Linked DNA regions of Arabidopsis thaliana. The protein of the gene in region 2 interacts with the protein of the main gene of each other region in a pairwise test. Each region holds a gene or a part of one and is shown on either strand. Other genes may lie near its edges. The genes, in order: BBX19, PRR9, BBX18 and NF-YC2.

Region 1 (4,878 bases), on a different chromosome or scaffold from region 2:
CATTCTCTTCACAATTAAAAGATTGTTCGATTCAATACAACGAAAAGGTGTTTTATGAGGCAAAGCCTAATATTGGTTGCTTGAGGTAGAAGTAACATTGTTTCTTGTTTTTTTTGTTATTTGCAGTTTTTGTCCGGAGGACAGTCGGAGGTGGAGGCAACACTCAACTTGAACGCAATGAACCAGGCACCAAACCCATGGCACGTGTCCTTCTCCTACGCACGTGCGTTGCAGAACACTTGTCTGAAAACATGGGGCGGCAGACCCGAGAACGTGAACGCAGCTCAGACCACTCTCTTGGCCCGTGCCAAGGCCAATTCGTTGGCTCAGCTCGGAAAATACACCGGTGAGGGTGAGTCCGAAGAGGCTAAGGAGGGCATGTTCGTCAAAGGGTACACCTATTGAAGAGATGATGCTGTGAAAAAAGAGATGAAGCAGATGTTTTAATCACATTTGTTTTTGAGTTTGCTTGTTATTAATCATGTCAAATCATTATTTTCTCTGCTTACTTTGCGTTAGCTACTCCTTTTAATAAGTTCTATTATATTGAAGTTATCTATCTCTCTTGATCTATTTAAACTTGAAACTACAACTATTCCATAATCAACCAATTTTAAATTTTGAACAAAGAGGATACAGGAGGAAATGGTCTCCACGAAGCTTACAATTCTCAAAGGACAACGCTTAGCCTCATGGGGCCTTTGCATATTAAGTGGGCTTAATCTTTTAATTGGCCCAATTTTTCGTCTTCTTTCTTTTTCGTCCATTTCCCAGAGGATTTTATTAAGAAAAAAAAACAGAAACAAATAAAATTATTTAGAATTTCAGAGATTAGCTTACATTCATGTGAGCACTTAAGCTAATTCCTTAAAACTAAGATAATGCACAAACAACATAAACCTTCCCTCTTCAACAACAAAGCTCGGTTACACCAGCAACGATCTAAGAATCAGAAGGAAGGAAAAAAAACGGACATGAAATCTCCAGTTCTTGAAACTTTTTACAATCTTCTTCTTAAACTGATTTTTTGAATCAGAGTAAAGAGTCTCTTTCTCTCTCTCTCTCTCACCTTATCACTTCTCAGACTCTCGTTTAAAGGGTCCAACTGGTACAAGGCCTGCAGGCTCGTGATTGTTCTCGTTATTTACATCAATCCCCTGCTCATTGAGAAACATTCGAATTGAGAATACAAAAACAAAGATTGAGAATATGTTGGATAGAGGGATTCATATACGTTGTTATTTGATGATGGCTCATGTACTCTTTGTGGATTAGCATTTAGATCAATCATTTCGTCATCAATCTTCCCATTGGCTTCACCATTTCCATTTGTAGAGACTCTTTGGTTCTGCAAATTGTCCCTCGTATTGTTTTCTTTAGGCTTATCCCCTGGAAACTACAAGAAACGATAAACACAAGATGACTATTAAAACTAAGAAATCGACTCAAAATGATTGTGTGTCTGCGTGAGAAAGAAACAATTAGTTAATTCAAACCTCGATTCTCTGTCTCAGCAAAAGAAACCGACCGTGTGTTCTCTTGCCACCAACATGTACTACCATGTCACATTGCAGACAAAGAGAACTACCGTCTATCTCACAGTAAAAGAAGGCTGTTCTCACAACAAAAAACATTGCAGACAAAAGATTTCTCTTCATTTTTCAATATATGTACATATGCGAAAACATTAAACACGAGTGTGGGAAGTTCATTGTAAAGAGATCATACCAGGTGCATTTTCGCATATATCACAGCATGGGGCATTGCTTGGTTCAGCTAAACCAACACGTACATGCCGACTAGCTAGCTTGTTGCACATATGAACCTGAAAGAAGAAAACATTACAAAGCTTTGAAGTAATCCATTTCCGATCAAAATCCGAAAACTACTAAGAGCTATTGCAGTAGAGAAGGATGAACCAATGACTCGAGAAGGACTATAAAGTGTTACCCTTAAGAGTCATCTAACTGAAGTAAGGATTAAGCGCAAAGAGCAGAAAATCGATTATTTTCTTCTCCAGAAGTTAATACTACTAAATGCAAACTCTGGAGACAAAACGTTCCCTGCAATGTACATGACAGAGTAGAATCATTGAAACCGCAGCAACAAACACTCATGTAATCAAACATGTAAATTCATCAACTGAACCATCTTAATCCACCAAATGAGAGAAGAGGTTTCAACTATTTGAACTCTTTTGACGGATTCACTACACTTCGAAATATCTAATCTCATGTGAAGAGCCTAAGAATCTAGAAACCAAATCTCAAAAATCTTATTTCTTTAGCTCAAAGTTATCGAAAAGCCAGATCAACTCAGGTCCAAATCAACTGAGAATTCCCAGACAGAGATAACAAAGACTTGATCTTTGACGAACCCATCAGAGCACAACCAATAGATAGAGAGGAGAGTTAAAGAAAAAAAGGAAGCTTTTTTGGGAGAGAAGTTACTTTTTCATCGCAGGGGCGACAAAGGGCAGCTTCATCGGCGGCGCAAAAGATGATTGCGGCTGCGTTCTCGCAAGCATCGCACAAAATCCGCATCTTGCTTTTTCAATCTTATAAGTCTTTTTCTCACTCTATTCGGAACAATGAATCTCACCTTCAAGACAAAATCTTTAGCCAGAACTCAGATTGCGATTGAAAGAGATGAGAAGTGGAAATAATAAGTAGAAACCTCTGATTAATTAAGGAGGAAGTAGATTAAGGGTTAGGATTACGCGTTGGTATCAAGGAACTAGAAGAAGAAGAAGAAAGGGAAGAAATTATTTAAGATTATAAAAATCGCTCCTTTAAAATCTTTTTCTACGATGGAGGAGAAGCTTGAGAGACCAGAAGAGACGACGACCAAATCCACGCGCCGAGAGTATCAAATAAGCATACTTTGCTGTGACAAGGCAAAATCTGTTAATTACTACTTTGAGTAAATTTCTCCAATCAATTACTTTTTTTCTTTAATTGTGTGTTTTGACTAACGAAAATTATGATTAAAGTAGTACCTAACAAGAAATGTGTGTAGTATGATTTAGGAGAAAATATTGGGAAGACCAAATCTTTTATAGTGGATATGGTTTTGAGTTATAAGATTGTTTAAAGTCCATTATATCAGAGACCATTATCAGACAAAAAGAAAAATGATATCGACTAAAAAGTGAAGACGAAAGACTCAATGCCATCTGGGAGGTCATTGATGTGTCTCCCTGAAACACATTCGTTGTCTTGTTTCCTTTGTTTTGGTGAAAAAGTTTTTTTTGTCACAATCTTTATATGATTTCTTGGATCCTATATCTGATTTTTTTTCTTCCTTTTTTTGACGGCAGCTGAAATAGTTTTAGGCAACATAATGTGCTAAGATTTAGGACGTGTGACTATTTTTAAAAGTAAAAATATAAACTAAAATAAATAAAAAAGGGGGAAAAAATAAGAGCCACAAAAGGAATTAAAAAAAAAGACAAAGAGGTGGGTGGGCCAAATGTCACCAGCCATTTAAAAAATTGGTGGTCGAGAAGTAGTTGAAAGCAACTCTCAAAACTCTACTAGTGGCCTTGGTTTAATGTTGTTTTTATTTCCTTGCCCATCTTCTCAATTTCATTTAACTAACATCTTCACAATTATCTTAGTTTTTTTTTCTTTTCATCCCAAAGTTTATTCTTTCTCTCCTCCATAAACATTCTTTTGTAGCTTGTTTTATGACACTTTGGCATTTGTAAAATTTGAAAGAAAAGTTTTGACGCACCCTATTCATAAACACGAGAATCAATATTTGCATAATTACAATGTTCTCTTCTGTTGAAAATATAGATTATGGTTTTTATAAAAAACAGAGCATCCAAAGAAGAGAGTTTGCCTGCCATGTGCATCATTGCTAAATGTTGGGCTTTACTTGTAATGTTGGGCTAGATATCCATTATATTTGTTATCAAAATATCATTATGACCTTCTGGGCCGGGAGAAAAGGTCTCTCACTAATGGGCTACGATGAAGTGGAGTGTGAGGTCCACGTGGCGGGTTTAAGGTTCCTAATTAAGTTTCAGGGGTAAACCGGTCATTAACTACCCAAGCCGAGAGAGAGAGAGTCTGAGAAACCGGCGAATAGAAGAAAAGAGAGAATCTTTGGGACCAAATCAATGGAGTGGTCCCTTCAGACAAAAGTTAAGAAGAAGAAGACGACGACGACTACGACGAAGAACAAACAACTACCAAACTTGTAGGCAGTAGCAGGAGGAAGTGGGTGGGATTAACATTGTCATTTCTCTCTCTTTTTCTTTTACAAATCTTTCCGTTTTGTTTTCTTTTGGTTTTCCGGTGAGCACTGTTGTGTTTCCAATTCCGGCACTCTTTAGGGTTCCCTTTCAGAAGAAAACTTCACATTGTTGTTTCTCTCAACCGTGACATCTTGGATTACTACTTCTGACTACTTTCCTTTTTCATGTGCCCCAAAAGATAATAGTTACTTTTTCAAAATCTGGTTTTGTTGTTTGGGTTTGTGTCATTCATTGATAAAGTCACTAATGGAGAAGTACAAAACAATTGCAAAATTTCGAATCTGTGTTGTCATTGCTGAATTCTGTAGTGGATGTTTGCTTGCAGTTTAGAGCTTCGGAGTGCGAAGAGTGAGACACAAGAGGATTCTTTCTGGAACCGCATTATTCCCTTTAGAGGAGGAAGAAGAAGACAACTCACTCACAAGGTAAAAACAGCTCCTTTGCATGTTTCTTTATCTTGCTTGTTAGAGATGTAGACAAGACACGCACTTTATAGACGCAAAATCTTAGTATTCTGGTTCAAGATTGAGATGCATTTTGTGATAATGATTAAATGTTCTGTTGGTGCAATTGATAAGGTTTCATTGAGTTTTGACTAAGTAAACTCCAAGTTA
Region 2 (5,286 bases):
TAAATCTTTGAAGTTCTTATGTTTGTGTTTTTTGTTTGTTTGCAGAACTACTACAATCATCATCTCTATGGAGGACAACAGTTTTCACCATATATGGGACATCCATCAGCAGGATCAACAGGAATGTTCCATGGTTTTTATCCCTACTATCCTCAATACAATGCAGCACAAAGTAGCAATCAAGCTCAAGCTCAAGTTCAAGCTCAACATCACCAAGGTTTCAGCTTTCAATACACTGCTCCTCCTGCTCCTCCTCTGCTGCAATATCCTTACTTGCCTCACCAGCCACACTTCAGTTCTCAGCAGCAATTTAGCTCTCAGCAACCTCCTCCTCCAATCCTCTCCCTCCCAACCTCTCTGGCTCTATCTTTACCTTCATCATCATCACCGTCCTCTTCAACTTCCACCTCAGGTTTGATTTCACAACACAATCTACATTGAAAACCATTTGTCACATTGTTTTGAATCATGCTTGATTCTTTGTTTTGTTTTGTATTAGCTGCAACAACAGCAACAAAAACAGTAGTTATAACTACAGCAACAAAGAAAGCAGAAACTGAAGCTAGCAGCAAAGATGGTAATGAAGCAATGACAACATCAACCATCAAGATAGAGGGTTGATTCAGAACTACTACAATAGCCAGAAGAAGGGACAAACTTCATTGTACACTAACTCATCATCAAATCTCTCCAACAACGTTCTAGAAACATTCATTCATCCATCGTTTTTAGGATTCTAGAATCTTAATTAGTACTTAGGAGGAGGAAGAAGAAGAAGAAACCATCATCACATTCTTTCTTTTTTTTTGTTGTTGTTTCAAATTGCATTTTAGGTAAAAGAATCAAGAGAAAGCATTGGTGGCTTTCTTTTAGATTCTTAAGAAAACTTGGATTGGTGCAGAAAGCATCATCAGATTATTACATTCATTTGGGGAATTTTATTTTTCAGGTTCAAAAGAAATGTTTTATGTCTTCTTTTGAACCTAAACAGGATTTTTAAGCTTCGGATAAGCTTAAAATCATTTCTTTTACATTTGTAATTCTTGAAATTGTTATAATTCAATCACATTGCTTCTTCTTACTATATTTGTTCGTTTATTATGATTATAAAATGTTTGATCAACCAAGAATCCGTTCATCGATCACTTTCACCTGGAGTTTTCTCGTGTTTTATAATCATAAAAAGATTGAACCTTTTTGATAATTATTTTGAATTCGTATGATCATTTTCTGAGAGTAAAATGATTATTGTCTTTGGATTCCAAAGGGGATCTTATGAAGACAAAAGTACCGGTCAAAAGACCGTTGGAATCAAACGGATCTTTTTCTTCGTCAATGGATAATATTTCACTTCTACTATTCTTTTAACAATTTTATAATAAAAACCAAACAAACAAAACATAGAGAATACATAAGTTATGGGCTTTTGAAAATCTAAGGCTTAAATTCTTATAAAGCCCATTAATTTTTATATGTGTAAGTAAGTTGGCCATAGAAAGCTTAAAGCCTTAGATATGTAAACACGCAAGAATATGGTAAGTTGTTTATTACGCACTGTCCACATCATAGATCGATAGATATTCTTTCCACGCAAAGCAAAGTTTTATTAAGATGGTTCTAGAATTCCTTCTTATCCACAGAAAATTTTTATATTCAAGAAAATCCAATTTTTCATTTGGAGTCGAAATTTACGCGGCCACTAACGAAATTTGATTTAATTAAAACTAGTGGGCATTTAATATTTGAAAATAATACTATTTGTTAAATCCCAATTGAAAATTTAATAACATTTAATATAATTAACTTTTTTGAAAAAAGGAACAAAAAAAGCCATCCAATTTGAATGATACATAGAGCAGCTGAAAAAAAAAAATCTACCTTTTAGAATTTATTAAATCCAACCAAAAATCAAACTTAGCCACACAATTACAATAGAAACCCACGTGTCATCCACATGACCACTAGATATTCAGACGAATATCTCCACTTCCGTAGAGCGATTAGGTTAATGACACGTGTTAAGGTGGACCTGCGAAGCAGAGGACCACCTCCACCGAATCAGCCGCGATACAGAGAAAATCAAAACAATGGCTCATATTAAGCCACGTCAGCTCAGTGAAGGCCCGCTTTGTTACACACCGTTAATTAGATTTCTCAAATTGTTTATTTGCTCTGAGCTTATACAACAAAGTCTTCTTCTTTCTCTGAGAAGATATTTTCGTGGTTGTGATCGAAAGATACCAAACTAAAGAGTTTAACTTTCTTCTTCCTTCTTCTTTACTTCAACATCTGATATTTTCTCTCTCTCTTTTATTCAGTCTGAAACAATATTTCTCGGTAGATTAAGATCTAAAGCTCGTTGATCTAGATTCTTGTTTCTATTTTTGTGTGTTTTAGGCTTTGTTGGTTTTACCAAGTGTTGTGATTCAGTTTGTTTTGAGGTCTGAGTCTATGGGGGAGATTGTGGTTTTAAGTAGTGATGATGGTATGGAGACTATAAAGAACAGAGTAAAGTCATCGGAAGTTGTTCAGTGGGAGAAGTATTTGCCTAAAACTGTACTTAGGGTTTTGTTAGTTGAATCTGATTACTCAACTCGTCAAATCATCACTGCCCTTCTTCGTAAATGCTGTTACAAAGGTCGATTGGTCTTTCCTTTCATTAGCTTATGTTAAAGTTTTCATTTTTATGTTTTGATGTTTGAAATTAAACTCGGTTCATGCTTTTTGATTGAATACAGTTGTAGCTGTTTCTGATGGTTTAGCTGCGTGGGAGGTTCTAAAGGAGAAGTCACATAACATTGATCTTATACTAACAGAGCTGGATTTGCCATCTATATCTGGTTTTGCTCTGCTTGCTTTGGTAATGGAGCATGAAGCTTGCAAGAACATTCCTGTCATAAGTACGATGGTGATCCCCTAAGTCCTTTATACCTCTAAAAACGCCTCTTTGTTAGTTTTTTGGTTCTTATGCTTTTGTTGTTTGTTTGAAATGAATAGTGATGTCTTCTCAAGATTCGATAAAAATGGTGTTGAAGTGTATGCTGAGAGGTGCTGCTGATTATCTAATCAAACCAATGAGGAAAAACGAGTTGAAAAATCTATGGCAACATGTTTGGAGAAGACTGACTGTAAATTTTTTATTTCCTTTTTTGAGGTTTCCTTGTGTTGAAGTTTGAAACTTGAAAGACTTATTGTCTTTTTTGGTTATGGATCAGTTGCGTGATGATCCTACTGCTCATGCTCAAAGCTTACCAGCTTCACAGCACAACCTTGAAGATACTGATGAAACTTGTGAAGATTCCAGATATCATTCAGATCAAGGAAGTGGTGCTCAGGTATAATAAATATTACCATCTGAGTTTTACATAATATATGTTCTGGTCCTTCTGAATTGTGTTTTGTATGAGTTGTGAGATTTTCATCTTGAGATTGCATTGTATATCTCATGTTTATCTCATTTTAGTAGAAGCTAATATCGTGTACATGCTTATGCAGGCTATCAATTACAATGGTCACAATAAGCTGATGGAGAATGGCAAATCAGTGGATGAAAGAGACGAGTTTAAGGAAACTTTTGATGTGACAATGGATTTGATTGGTGGAATTGACAAGCGTCCTGATAGTATTTATAAAGACAAGAGTCGAGATGAGTGTGTTGGTCCTGAGCTTGGACTTTCTCTGAAAAGATCTTGCTCTGTAAGTTTTGAGAACCAAGATGAAAGCAAGCATCAAAAGCTTAGCCTCTCTGATGCGTCGGCCTTCTCAAGGTATGCATGTTTCCTTGCTTGAATAAAGAATGCCTCAAATCTTGTAATTAGTGTTTTTAATCAATAACTCTACTTAACTTGCAGATTTGAGGAAAGCAAGTCAGCAGAAAAAGCCGTCGTTGCTTTAGAGGAGAGTACTTCAGGTGAGCCAAAGACACCAACCGAATCACATGAAAAGTTAAGAAAAGTAACATCTGATCAAGGAAGCGCCACAACGAGCAGCAACCAGGAGAATATCGGATCATCAAGCGTAAGCTTCCGTAACCAAGTTCTTCAGTCCACAGTAACGAATCAGAAGCAAGATTCACCCATACCGGTAGAATCAAATCGCGAGAAAGCAGCTAGCAAGGAAGTAGAAGCTGGTTCTCAAAGCACCAATGAGGGGATTGCTGGACAAAGCAGTAGCACAGAGAAACCAAAGGAAGAAGAAAGTGCGAAACAACGTTGGAGTAGAAGCCAGAGAGAAGCTGCATTGATGAAGTTCCGGTTGAAGAGGAAAGATCGATGCTTTGACAAAAAGGTAAGAGACACACAAGCTTCATCATAAAAACAGCATCTGAAACAAATACAAGATCAAACTGATTCAATGGAGATGTATAAAAATGGATTACAGGTTCGGTACCAGAGCAGGAAGAAGCTAGCAGAACAACGTCCTCGAGTGAAAGGCCAGTTCGTGCGAACCGTGAATTCAGACGCGTCTACAAAATCATGAAGAGCTCTTTCAGTTTTTCCTCTGATTTCTTTTGTTGATTTTATAACAGAAACTTATTTAGCTTTTGCAATCTTTAGTGTGCTTTTTTTTTTTATGTATTTGATTGGCTTCTTCTTCTCAGCTAATATGAGATACTGGGGCAACTTTTGTATATATGTCTGCAAATGATCAGGCTAAGCTAAAACAGTAATTCCAATTTCGTTAAGTTGAGAAATATTTCTTGTTGTGATCATATCCAGGCCGCTTCTCTCTCGATACATACCAACAAGAAACAGATTCTATAAAACTTGATTTATATACCATTGCTATAGTCTATGTATTAAAACTCATCACATTAATTCTCTCACAGTCAGAGAAACAAAAAAAGGAAACAAAAGCTATCGAAAGAAAAATCAACAAAGAAATCTTTTTTTGTGACCGTTAAACTAAGATTTTGTGACCGTTAATTGTGATTATCAGTTTCCTTTTCTTTGCTTATAAATAAATAATTAGTGAGAGTCTCAACGCTTCTTCTAAAACATTCGACAAATCAAAACTCTCTATCTCTCGCTTCTTCTTATTCTTCAACCCTAGTTCTCTTCTCAAGACAATTTTGTCTTCAAAGAGGAGACTACAAAGAGGAGGATATAGCCAAGAGAGGGGAGAGCTTTATGGTGGTGGATGATGTCACGAGAGGGCTACCAAAGACCGACGGGCTCAAATCTGACTTTGGAATGGGCTTTGCTCTATGGGCCCTTTTTGCTACTAAATCCAACAAGGTATTACTTTTTTCATTCTTTTTTTTTTTGTTTTATTTACCTTCAAAAT
Region 3 (4,467 bases), about 10 Mb from region 2:
ACACTTGCTTGAAGACATGGGGAGGCAAGGAAGAGAACGTGAAGGCGGCTCAGGACATTCTCTTGGCCAGAGCCAAAGCCAATTCGCTGGCTCAGCTCGGGAAATACACTGGAGAAGGCGAGTCTGAGGAAGCCAAGGAGGGTATGTTTGTAAAAGGCTACACCTACTAAGCTATTTGTAATAATGGTTCCATAGATCAAAACTCAAAAACTTGAGCTTGATTCTGGTCATTTGAGTTATTATACTCTTCTTCAGGTATAAAAGTCAGTTCTGTGTTATCATGTGAGACTAGTTTTGTTTCTTCATGGTTAATATCTTAGTACCTACTCGTTACTACTAATAATTGAGTTAGTAGTCTGTTTCTATCATTGTTATCACTCAAAAACTCTGTCTTTACAAGTTATGAAACTAGTAACATTATGCTCTCTGAGCTCAAAATCACATCTAATGCAGGAAAATGACATTACAATTTATGTTCAAAAAAATGGAGCGAGAAACATCGAAACAGTATGTTGAGACTTGAGTAATGAGAGATTGCAGTTCAAGATCATATGACTCTCAAATTACTCATGTTTATAACTCAGAGTTAACAAAACTAATCAGAGAGAGAAGAAGAAGATAATAGTCATGGCTCATGGTGATCACTTAAACCGAGCCAAGAAGGCATCTCCTTTAATGGCTAACCATTTTACTATTTTCTATTAAAGCTTTGTCTGAATGTGAGAAGAGAGAAAATCATATATTTGAGATATAACTCTGAAGAATCGTTATCCACTAATTGATCATTTCACAAAAGAAAGGAAAAGAGAAGAAATTCAGAAAACAACATATTTGTTTCCTCTAAGCTAATTTCTTCAAAACAAAATAAGACATTTCCCTGTAAAGATACTGTTCTTGCATAGGTTCTTACTTGATCTTGTGTATCTGCGATCACTATTCATGCTCGTGATTGTTTGCGTTATTTACATCAATACCCTCCTCCTTGAAACACAAACAAAACAGCTTTAGAGACACTGAGGCAAGATTGATTATGTTCATCTAGATAAGATACACGTACTTGGTTATGTGATCCAGGCTCGTGTACTCTTTGAGGATTGGAGTTAAGATCGATCATATTATGATCATGATCACCATTCCCATTTGATTCTTGACCACGACCAGAGGAAGCCTTTTGACACCGTAGTCCCAGTTGGTCAGCATGATTAGGCTTATCGCCTGGAAACTACAAGAACACAACATTGTAAAGAACAGTCAATACCACAAATCAAGAATGCTTCAAGATCCTTGCATTTTCAAAAGTCAAACCTCAATTCTCTGTCTCAGTAATAGAAACCGCCTATGTGTTCTCTTCCCACCAACATGTACCACCATATCACATTGTAGACAAAGGGAACTACCATCTATCTCACAGTAAAAGAATGCTGTTCATCGATCAACAACAAAACAAACATGTCAAAAACTGAAACTTCCGCTTCCTCTTATACACTAAAGAAAGAGGAATCATATCAATACCGGGTGCATTTTCGCATATGTCACAGCTTGGTGCATTACTCGGATCAGCTAAGCCTACACGAAGATGCCGACTAGCCAGCTTGTTGCACTTATGAACCTAAACACACAAACAAAAATGTTTCTTTCTTATAACTTATATCTAACCACGTCCTCAATCAAAGCCATTGCAGATAACAAAAAGTCTCATAGCTCTTCCAGCTTCAATAGAGTGACTGTAACTGTAAATAAAGTGTATCACCAGAGAACTGCTATATGCAAAGTTCAAATTATGACAAGCTAAAATCACTAGAATGTTTCTTTAACAATCAAAACACAACTTTTGGTACTACTTTGGCCATGTTCGAGTTATAATAACCTCAAAATCTATAAATTTAGCACTTCAACTAGATATTGTCTCAAAAATTCCAAATTTTTGCATTTGTTGAGATAAAAGTGTTACTTTAAGAAAAATGAGATTTTTTTCAGGTAAAGGTGGTTACTTTTTCGTCGCAGGAGCAACAGAGGGCAGCTTCGTCGGCGGCGCAAAAGACGATAGCGGCGGCGCTCTCACAAGCATCACACAAAATTCGCATGTTTTTTACTCAAACGATTAGTCTCACTTTCAAAGTTAGCATCTTTCGCCAAACCCAAATTCTGATTGTTGAAGCGGAAGATGGAGAGACTAAAGGGTTTAGGATTAATGGATAATACGAGATAAAGTAAGAAGAGGAAGGAGATTTTTTGAATCAAACTAAGAAGAAGAAGAAGAAGAAGAAGAAGAAGAAGAAGAAGAAGAAGAAAGCAGAGAGCAGCAGAGAAATATGATGGATAGATGAATTTGCAGACGCTGCGAGTAGCTTGTATATGTATACTCGCTCTATCTCCCCTTTATTTGATTTCCCTTCTGATGGCCAAAATTAAACATAGATAGGATTTTTTTTTTTTTTTTTTGTATTTGACTCTTTGTCAAATATTTTTTAATCTTTTAAAATTTTTTCACATTTTTAGGAATATGTTCTATATGAAATTATGGGTTTGAATGGTAGGTGAGTGTATACACCATTTTGATTGTTAATTTGTTATTAATTATTTTAAAAGGAAATTGCAGTGTCAAAAATGGTCTCAAAATTTATCATTAATTGTTATTGTAATTTTTTTTGAACTATTCTACTATAGTTTTTGTGTACTTTTGCTAAGCTGAAAATCTTAACACATTCTGAAGTATCAATTGGAGCATATAATATTGAAAATTCAACTATACATTTTTATTAGTAAATGTTGATGTAAAAAAAAAAAGCTTGAATCTTTAACTGTTTTATGCGGAAGCTCTCACTAAATCTCTCTTTGTTCGATCACTCGTGTGTTTAGACAAAGAAAGTAAAACAGACACAAGCAAATGTTAACCCAGTTCACGTTCAGTGATGAACGCTACGTCTGGACCGAGATTACCCGGAAATCCACTAGAAAGCCTTGGTTACACAAACCCTTAGAAACAAGACTGAATAAACTTTCAGCTGCCTCTCTTGCACTTACTCTCTTAACCCTAATGTCTCACTTATCTTCTCCTTTATACAACTCTACTCACCGCCACGCTCCTCTCTCTTCTTCCGTACTCTGTTTCAAATGCAGAGACAAAGAGACAAAATGGTTGAACCATTGGCAAGAGGTTAATTACGTCTCTAGCCTTGATGAGCTGTATGACAAAGCACGTGCGCCTCTCGTGACTTCGTTTCTTTCACAAGCTGAGACCTTCTCTTTGGATTAGAGTCTTTATGACACTTTAGGCAATACTTCCACAAAACTTCACCTTGCCTTAGTGTCAACCTTTCCTTTGCTTCCCTTCTAGTGTAACTTGATTTCCATCTCGGACCATGATCCCTTATCAGGCACTTGTAACCCTGAGCTTCTTCAACGCGCTCAGGAACTTGTTAACCGGTACCACCTTTGTGAAAATATCCGATGGATTATGAACTGTGGATATTTTCAGCACTTTCACTTCTCCATCAGTGATTGCATCTCTGATGTAATGAAACCTTCTCTGGATATGCTTTGTCCTTTCATGATGAACTGCATTCTTTGCTAAAGCTATAGCACTCTGAGAATCACAATGGATATCTACCGCTCCTTGTTTAAATCCCAGCTCATTCATCAAGTCTTTTAGCCAATATGCTTCTTTTGCAGCCTCTGTTAAGGCTATATACTCAGCCTCTGTTGATGACAGTGCAACAACTGGCTGCAAGCATGACCTCCAGCTTACTATGTTCCCTCCTACAGTGAATGTGTACCCTGTGGTCGATCTACTTCGATCACGATCTCCAGAGTGATCTGAATCACAGTACCCTGTCACCACAAAATCACCTTCTCTCTTGTACTGCAGCCTTGAATCAATAGACCCCTTAATGTAACGGAGAACCCATTTCACACCTAGCCAATGATTCATCAATGGTTTACTCATAAACCTACTTATGACTCCAACAGGATGAGCAAGGTCAGGCCTTGACCCGATCATAGAATACATTATGCTTCCCACTGCATTTGCATAAGGTATAGACTTCATTTGATCAGCTTGCTCCTCTGCTTCAGTCTCTGTTGCTGCTACAAACTTCATATGTGGTGCCAATGGTGTTTTAACAGGCTTGCATTCATCCATTCTGAATGTCTTTAACACCTTTTGCAGATAACTTCTCTGAGATAACTCCAAAATATTTTCTTCTCGGTTTCTTGTTATCTCCATTCCCAGAATTTTCCTTGCAGGCCCCAAATCCTTCATTTCAAACTCTGAACTCAGTCTTTCCTTTAATTCCTTGACTGTTTCCTTGTTCTTTGATATGATCAACATATCATCAACATACAAGAGAAGAAATGTTCTTTCTTCTTCAGAAAATAAATCCATACTTTTCTTGTAAGGTCATCAATAAACGTGATAAAGTACTGACAATTACCTAGTGAGTTTGGTACTGATGGCGCTCCCCAAAG
Region 4 (4,220 bases), on a different chromosome or scaffold from region 2:
CGCTAGTTTATGGTGAGGCTGAGGGTGGAGAGAATGATGAAAATCTGTTCAGGAGCATCTCAGTCCTTCTGGAACCACCGTTATCCGTAGCTCAGGTCAGGACTAATGAAATTCATATATATCTGATTTGACTAGTATAATATGTGCTTCCACTTTTCTTGCACAAGTGTACAGATTGTTAAGCATTGCGAATCTGTGCGTTTGATCATACAGATGTCGAATCAAGCCAGGTGGTCTGTTCTACAATCTTACAATCTACTCAAGTGGCACAAGGCAGCACATAGGGCCGCTGTTGAAGCTCTCCAAGTGGGAAGTCCTCTTAGCATTGTGATTAGAAGGATTGAGGAAGCCATGTCTTCAAGCAAATGATTGAAGCACCAGCATTTTCTGTAATTTATTACTAATACGGACAGCCCATAAAAAAAAAACTCATTTGGAATGCATGGAGACCGAAGCAGATAAGCTCTCGGTATCTCGGTATATAAACCACCTGACTGCAACTGGAATGGCGAGAAGGGACTTGTATCTTTGGATCCATGTTCAAGTAAGTTAAGGTTTTATCCACTAAGGGAGATGTGGAGGATGACAAGGTTTAAACTTTAAAGGAATAGGAGCCAAGCTTTTAATAGCATAAAGAAAATGGTTGTAAAGTAGCAATCACATGAAAGCTGTATAGTTGAATTCCTGTGAAGTAAAGTTTTGGGCATTACTAGTAGTGATTTTCTTTCTATCATTCTTGTTATTATTTAATGCACATGAGAACAGAAACTGCATTGCCATAGATATAGACTGGGGATATACTAACATGTCATTACAGAACACAATAGAAATGGTTCCCAGCAGAGCAGAGCTACCTTACTACGATACAACCAAACAAACGAAAGGGGAAAAGTTTTAAGACTCATCAGGGTGTTGCTCCTGGGGCCAGTGTTGCATCATCCCCTGTTGTTGCAAGTAATAGTATGGCGGGGAACCCACCACCGATGGTATGGTCCCTTTGGTCACGCCTAAACCTTCTTCTTTCAGCTCGTCCCTCGGGATTATGTCCACAAGGAAATCAAACACGTCGGTCCTGGAAATGGCAGCGGCGATGTCGTTCTTCTGCAAGGTCCTCCTCTTGTTCTCCTCGGTGTGGATCCAAGCACGTAGAGTGAGCTCCAAAATGAACATCTCACAGGCCTTGGCAAAAATCACAGGAGCCTCCGCAGAGATCATCCTCACATCTTCATCAGCTTTCATGATCTTCTTGATGCGGGCTAGGGGAAGGGTGTGGTTCTTGAAATCAGTGGTATGCTCGATCTCTTGCATTTGGTTAGCCCAGAACATCTGAAGCTGCTGCTGTTGTTGCTGCTGATGGTGGTGGTGGAAGTGGTGAGCTTGTTGGAATGCCATATGGGAAGCTGCATTTACTGGCCCACTCTGATAAGCATGAGGAGGTACATAATCCATCACTCCCTGTTGCTGTTGCTGTTGACCCTCTTCTGACTGCTCCATTGCTAAGCTATCTCTGTTAATATAAAATTGTAGATTGACAGTTAATCCAAAGTTAAGGGATTTAGAACCAAAGTCTAAAAAAAATCAGAAAAAAAGAAGCGCATGCATGCTCGAATTAAGCTCAGATATGCTGGTTTCAAATCCGGATTTGGGAGTCACGACCCAAGCAGAGCACGATTCACAACATGGACCAAAGATGATAACTTTTGATCCTTTACTACGGTTTTGTCAAAGCTAAAGGATCAAAGAAGTGAAGAAAACGAAATTGGAGAGAGAAGTTTCCAATAGAAACAGAAAATGGAAGAAGAAACACAGACATACCAGTGAGAGTGAGATCTCGCGAAACCCTAAGATAAATGGGTTTGGGGCGGGTTAGCTTTTTATCAAGCGTTTCTGGTGGTGCGTATCTTCCGCCTAGTTGACACGTGTCGAAAAAGCGGGAGTTTTTACGTTACTTCCACCTGTATGCTTTTCATTGGTTATGTTGTGTTATTCCAGAAATTTCTTTATCGGACGGTTTCGAAGAATAACGAAGAACACGTGAAGTGCGCGTGAACAAAAGTCACGTGACATTTGCAACGTCGCGCAAACTTATTTTCGAAGAAGCCCATTGGACCTTGTGGGCTGTAAATCACCCGGGCCGGATCAAAACTTGACCCTAATTGTCAACAGAGTAAAGGGAAACGGGAAGCAGAGGAAAGGAAACCATCGAAAGAAGTTGCAGAGGCAAAGGATCCATCTTTGCTATCGCCACTCTTCTTTGGGGTTCGAAAGAGCCAGACTTTGTTTAATTATGCCGATAATTATGTGCAGAGTCGTCGCTAGTTTTGTTCTGTAAGGAGCAGAACAGTCTCCTCCATCCCTCTATGTGAAGTCCACAATTGCTCCACTTTTCAGAAGCCAAGGTATCTTCTTACTGCTAATGTATTTACCATACGTGTTTAACTTACACAAGCTCTCTTCTTTGTGTTTTAATCTGTAAGAGATTGGTGTAGTTGTCGGATTTCTGTTAATCATTGCGTGCTCGGAGCTGTGAAATTTGTAGTTTTTGTGATTCTAGTGTGATATGTGATGATCCCAAACAGGTCATGTGCTTTAATAAACGGTTGGAGCAAGAATCAAAAGTTTGTGTATTCTTTGTAGTATTTGTTCTGTTTTTTTCTTTTCTTTTCTTCTTCTGTTTGGTCTCACTGAGACCGTCTCAGTCTCTCAAATATGTATGGACTTAGGATAATTCAGAAGCTTTTGACATTGAAGCCCTTACAGGAAGCAAATATCAAGTGATTGAAATGATGAGTACAGTTGGAGTCATATTTCTTGTTGTTTGTATCTAGGCTAAGAAACTTACACACACCTAATTCGATTTCAGGACTTGATGCTTGGTGTGGCGCCTGATCTCGACACACCGGAAGCAGTCGATGCTGCCATTGCCAGCCATCAACCTGCGACCTGTTTTGGCCTCTGAAAACGGAGACTCTGAGAGCAGCCATAAGAGTGATCGAGAAGGAAAAGAGAAGAGTTGTTTGTGTGAATCTAGCCGAAAAACGAACCAATATCATAGAGCTCTCATAAAACATAGCATCTTCTCAATGCATGGGCAATCCATGTAAAATAGTAATTTACTCAACATTCAAAAGTGGATACAACACTGGTCATGCATATATTATTGACATTCATAGACATACTTCTCCGACGAAATTAAAATCATCAAAGTAAGTTTGGTTGTCAATGAAGTTGAACCACTCGTCGTACTCATTGTTAGGTGTGGTTGATTCAACCAGCTGTCTCCTCAAGTCGGATTCTTCGTTTGTGTCTTCAAATCCGCATGGGATATCCGGTTGAGGATGATCAAATGATTGCGATTTGGTTACCTCTCGAGTCATTTCTTGGGTTGAAATGTGAGTTTGGTGGTTATGAAGAAGAGAGTCTAGCGGAAATAAGATATCGTTATCCTGAAGAAACTCAGAGGTTATATCATCAAAGTCATCATGGTCGAGCAGGAACTGGATCTCGTTGAGTCCATTAACCTCATGAAGCTCTGGTTTTGTGTGCATACACTCGCCTTGGTGATGTGACGAAGTAGCTGAGTTTTGGCTCTCATTTAACCCTGAATGTATTTCTTCTTGAGCCCCGTCACAGTTCTTGTCATGATCTGCTTTTGTGCTTTGGTCATGAGTGCTAGAGAGGGATGAAGAAGAAGAAGATGGAGTGAGTCGTTTCTTGAGATGCGTGTTCCACACGTTTTTGATCTCGTTGTCAGTTCTTCCCGGCAAGAAGGACGCGATCTTTGACCACCTGATGATCACATATATCAATTAGTCTCTACATACTATATATTGTCTTATTATAAAGAAATTAGATGAATAGGTAGAGTACAAACTTGTTTCCAAGGGTTTGATGGTAGTGAATGATAGCATCTTCCTCCTTTTTGCTAAAGTTGCCTCGCTTCACGTCCGGTCTCAGATAGTTTATCCATCTTAGTCGGCAACTTTTCCCACATCTCAACAATCCTATGTATATATATCAATCATTATTTCTCTTAGTTATTTAAAACTTTATAGTATTACCGAAACATGCATGTGAATAAATACTAACCAGCAAGCTTGGGAAGAGATCTCCAGTTTTGATGGCCATGTTTTTGAATAAAAGTGATGAGAGTGAGATCTTCTTGAGGGCTCCATGGCCCTCTCTTCACTTTGTTCTTGTCGCAGCATGGTGCTCTTCCT

The links.
Region 1: the proteins of PRR9 (region 2) and BBX19 interact in binary tests that used the Arabidopsis thaliana proteins (3 or more experiments, as listed by UniProt).
Region 3: the proteins of PRR9 (region 2) and BBX18 interact in binary tests that used the Arabidopsis thaliana proteins (3 or more experiments, as listed by UniProt).
Region 4: the proteins of PRR9 (region 2) and NF-YC2 interact in binary tests that used the Arabidopsis thaliana proteins (3 or more experiments, as listed by UniProt).

The regions. Positions count from the first base shown.
Region 1 is NC_003075.7:18,159,241-18,164,118, reverse strand, and holds BBX19 (B-box type zinc finger family protein), read right to left. Parts: upstream 3,032-4,878; 5' UTR 2,544-3,031; coding exon 2,451-2,543; intron 2,245-2,450; coding exon 2,149-2,244; intron 2,064-2,148; coding exon 2,031-2,063; exon of another isoform or gene 1,951-2,030; intron 1,826-1,950; coding exon 1,729-1,825; intron 1,613-1,728; coding exon 1,497-1,612; intron 1,397-1,496; coding exon 1,235-1,396; coding exon of another isoform or gene 1,158-1,234; coding exon 1,074-1,157; 3' UTR 798-1,073; downstream 1-797. Other genes in the region: FBA2 (fructose-bisphosphate aldolase 2), read left to right, coding at 127-405.
Region 2 is NC_003071.7:19,230,423-19,235,708, forward strand, and holds PRR9 (pseudo-response regulator 9), read left to right. Parts: upstream 1-2,184; 5' UTR 2,185-2,451; coding exon 2,452-2,638; intron 2,639-2,738; coding exon 2,739-2,900; exon of another isoform or gene 2,901-2,908; intron 2,909-2,997; coding exon 2,998-3,128; exon of another isoform or gene 3,129-3,206; coding exon of another isoform or gene 3,207-3,215; coding exon 3,216-3,335; intron 3,336-3,495; coding exon 3,496-3,767; intron 3,768-3,851; coding exon 3,852-4,287; coding exon of another isoform or gene 4,288-4,314; exon of another isoform or gene 4,315-4,380; coding exon 4,381-4,479; 3' UTR 4,480-4,757; downstream 4,758-5,286. Other genes in the region: AT2G46780 (RNA-binding (RRM/RBD/RNP motifs) family protein), read left to right, coding at 46-412, 500-621. UniProt on the Arabidopsis thaliana protein: Transcriptional repressor of CCA1 and LHY, and positive regulator of LWD1 and LWD2 expression. Controls photoperiodic flowering response and temperature compensation. Involved in the positive and negative feedback loops of the circadian clock.
Region 3 is NC_003071.7:9,124,119-9,128,585, reverse strand, and holds BBX18 (B-box zinc finger family protein), read right to left. Parts: upstream 2,324-4,467; 5' UTR 2,085-2,323; coding exon 1,992-2,084; intron 1,610-1,991; coding exon 1,513-1,609; intron 1,422-1,512; coding exon 1,306-1,421; intron 1,223-1,305; coding exon 1,058-1,222; intron 982-1,057; coding exon 934-981; 3' UTR 599-933; downstream 1-598. Other genes in the region: FBA1 (fructose-bisphosphate aldolase 1), read left to right, coding at 1-170. UniProt on the Arabidopsis thaliana protein: Acts as a negative regulator of seedling photomorphogenesis. Acts as a negative regulator of blue light-mediated inhibition of hypocotyl elongation through increase of bioactive gibberellin levels.
Region 4 is NC_003070.9:21,022,392-21,026,611, reverse strand, and holds NF-YC2 (nuclear factor Y, subunit C2), read right to left. Parts: upstream 2,131-4,220; 5' UTR 1,816-2,130; exon of another isoform or gene 1,508-1,815; 5' UTR 1,495-1,507; coding exon 895-1,494; 3' UTR 710-894; downstream 1-709. Other genes in the region: AT1G56180 (ATP-dependent zinc metalloprotease), read left to right, coding at 1-95, 214-369; MYB72 (myb domain protein 72), read right to left, coding at 3,168-3,789, 3,875-4,004, 4,090-4,220. UniProt on the Arabidopsis thaliana protein: Stimulates the transcription of various genes by recognizing and binding to a CCAAT motif in promoters.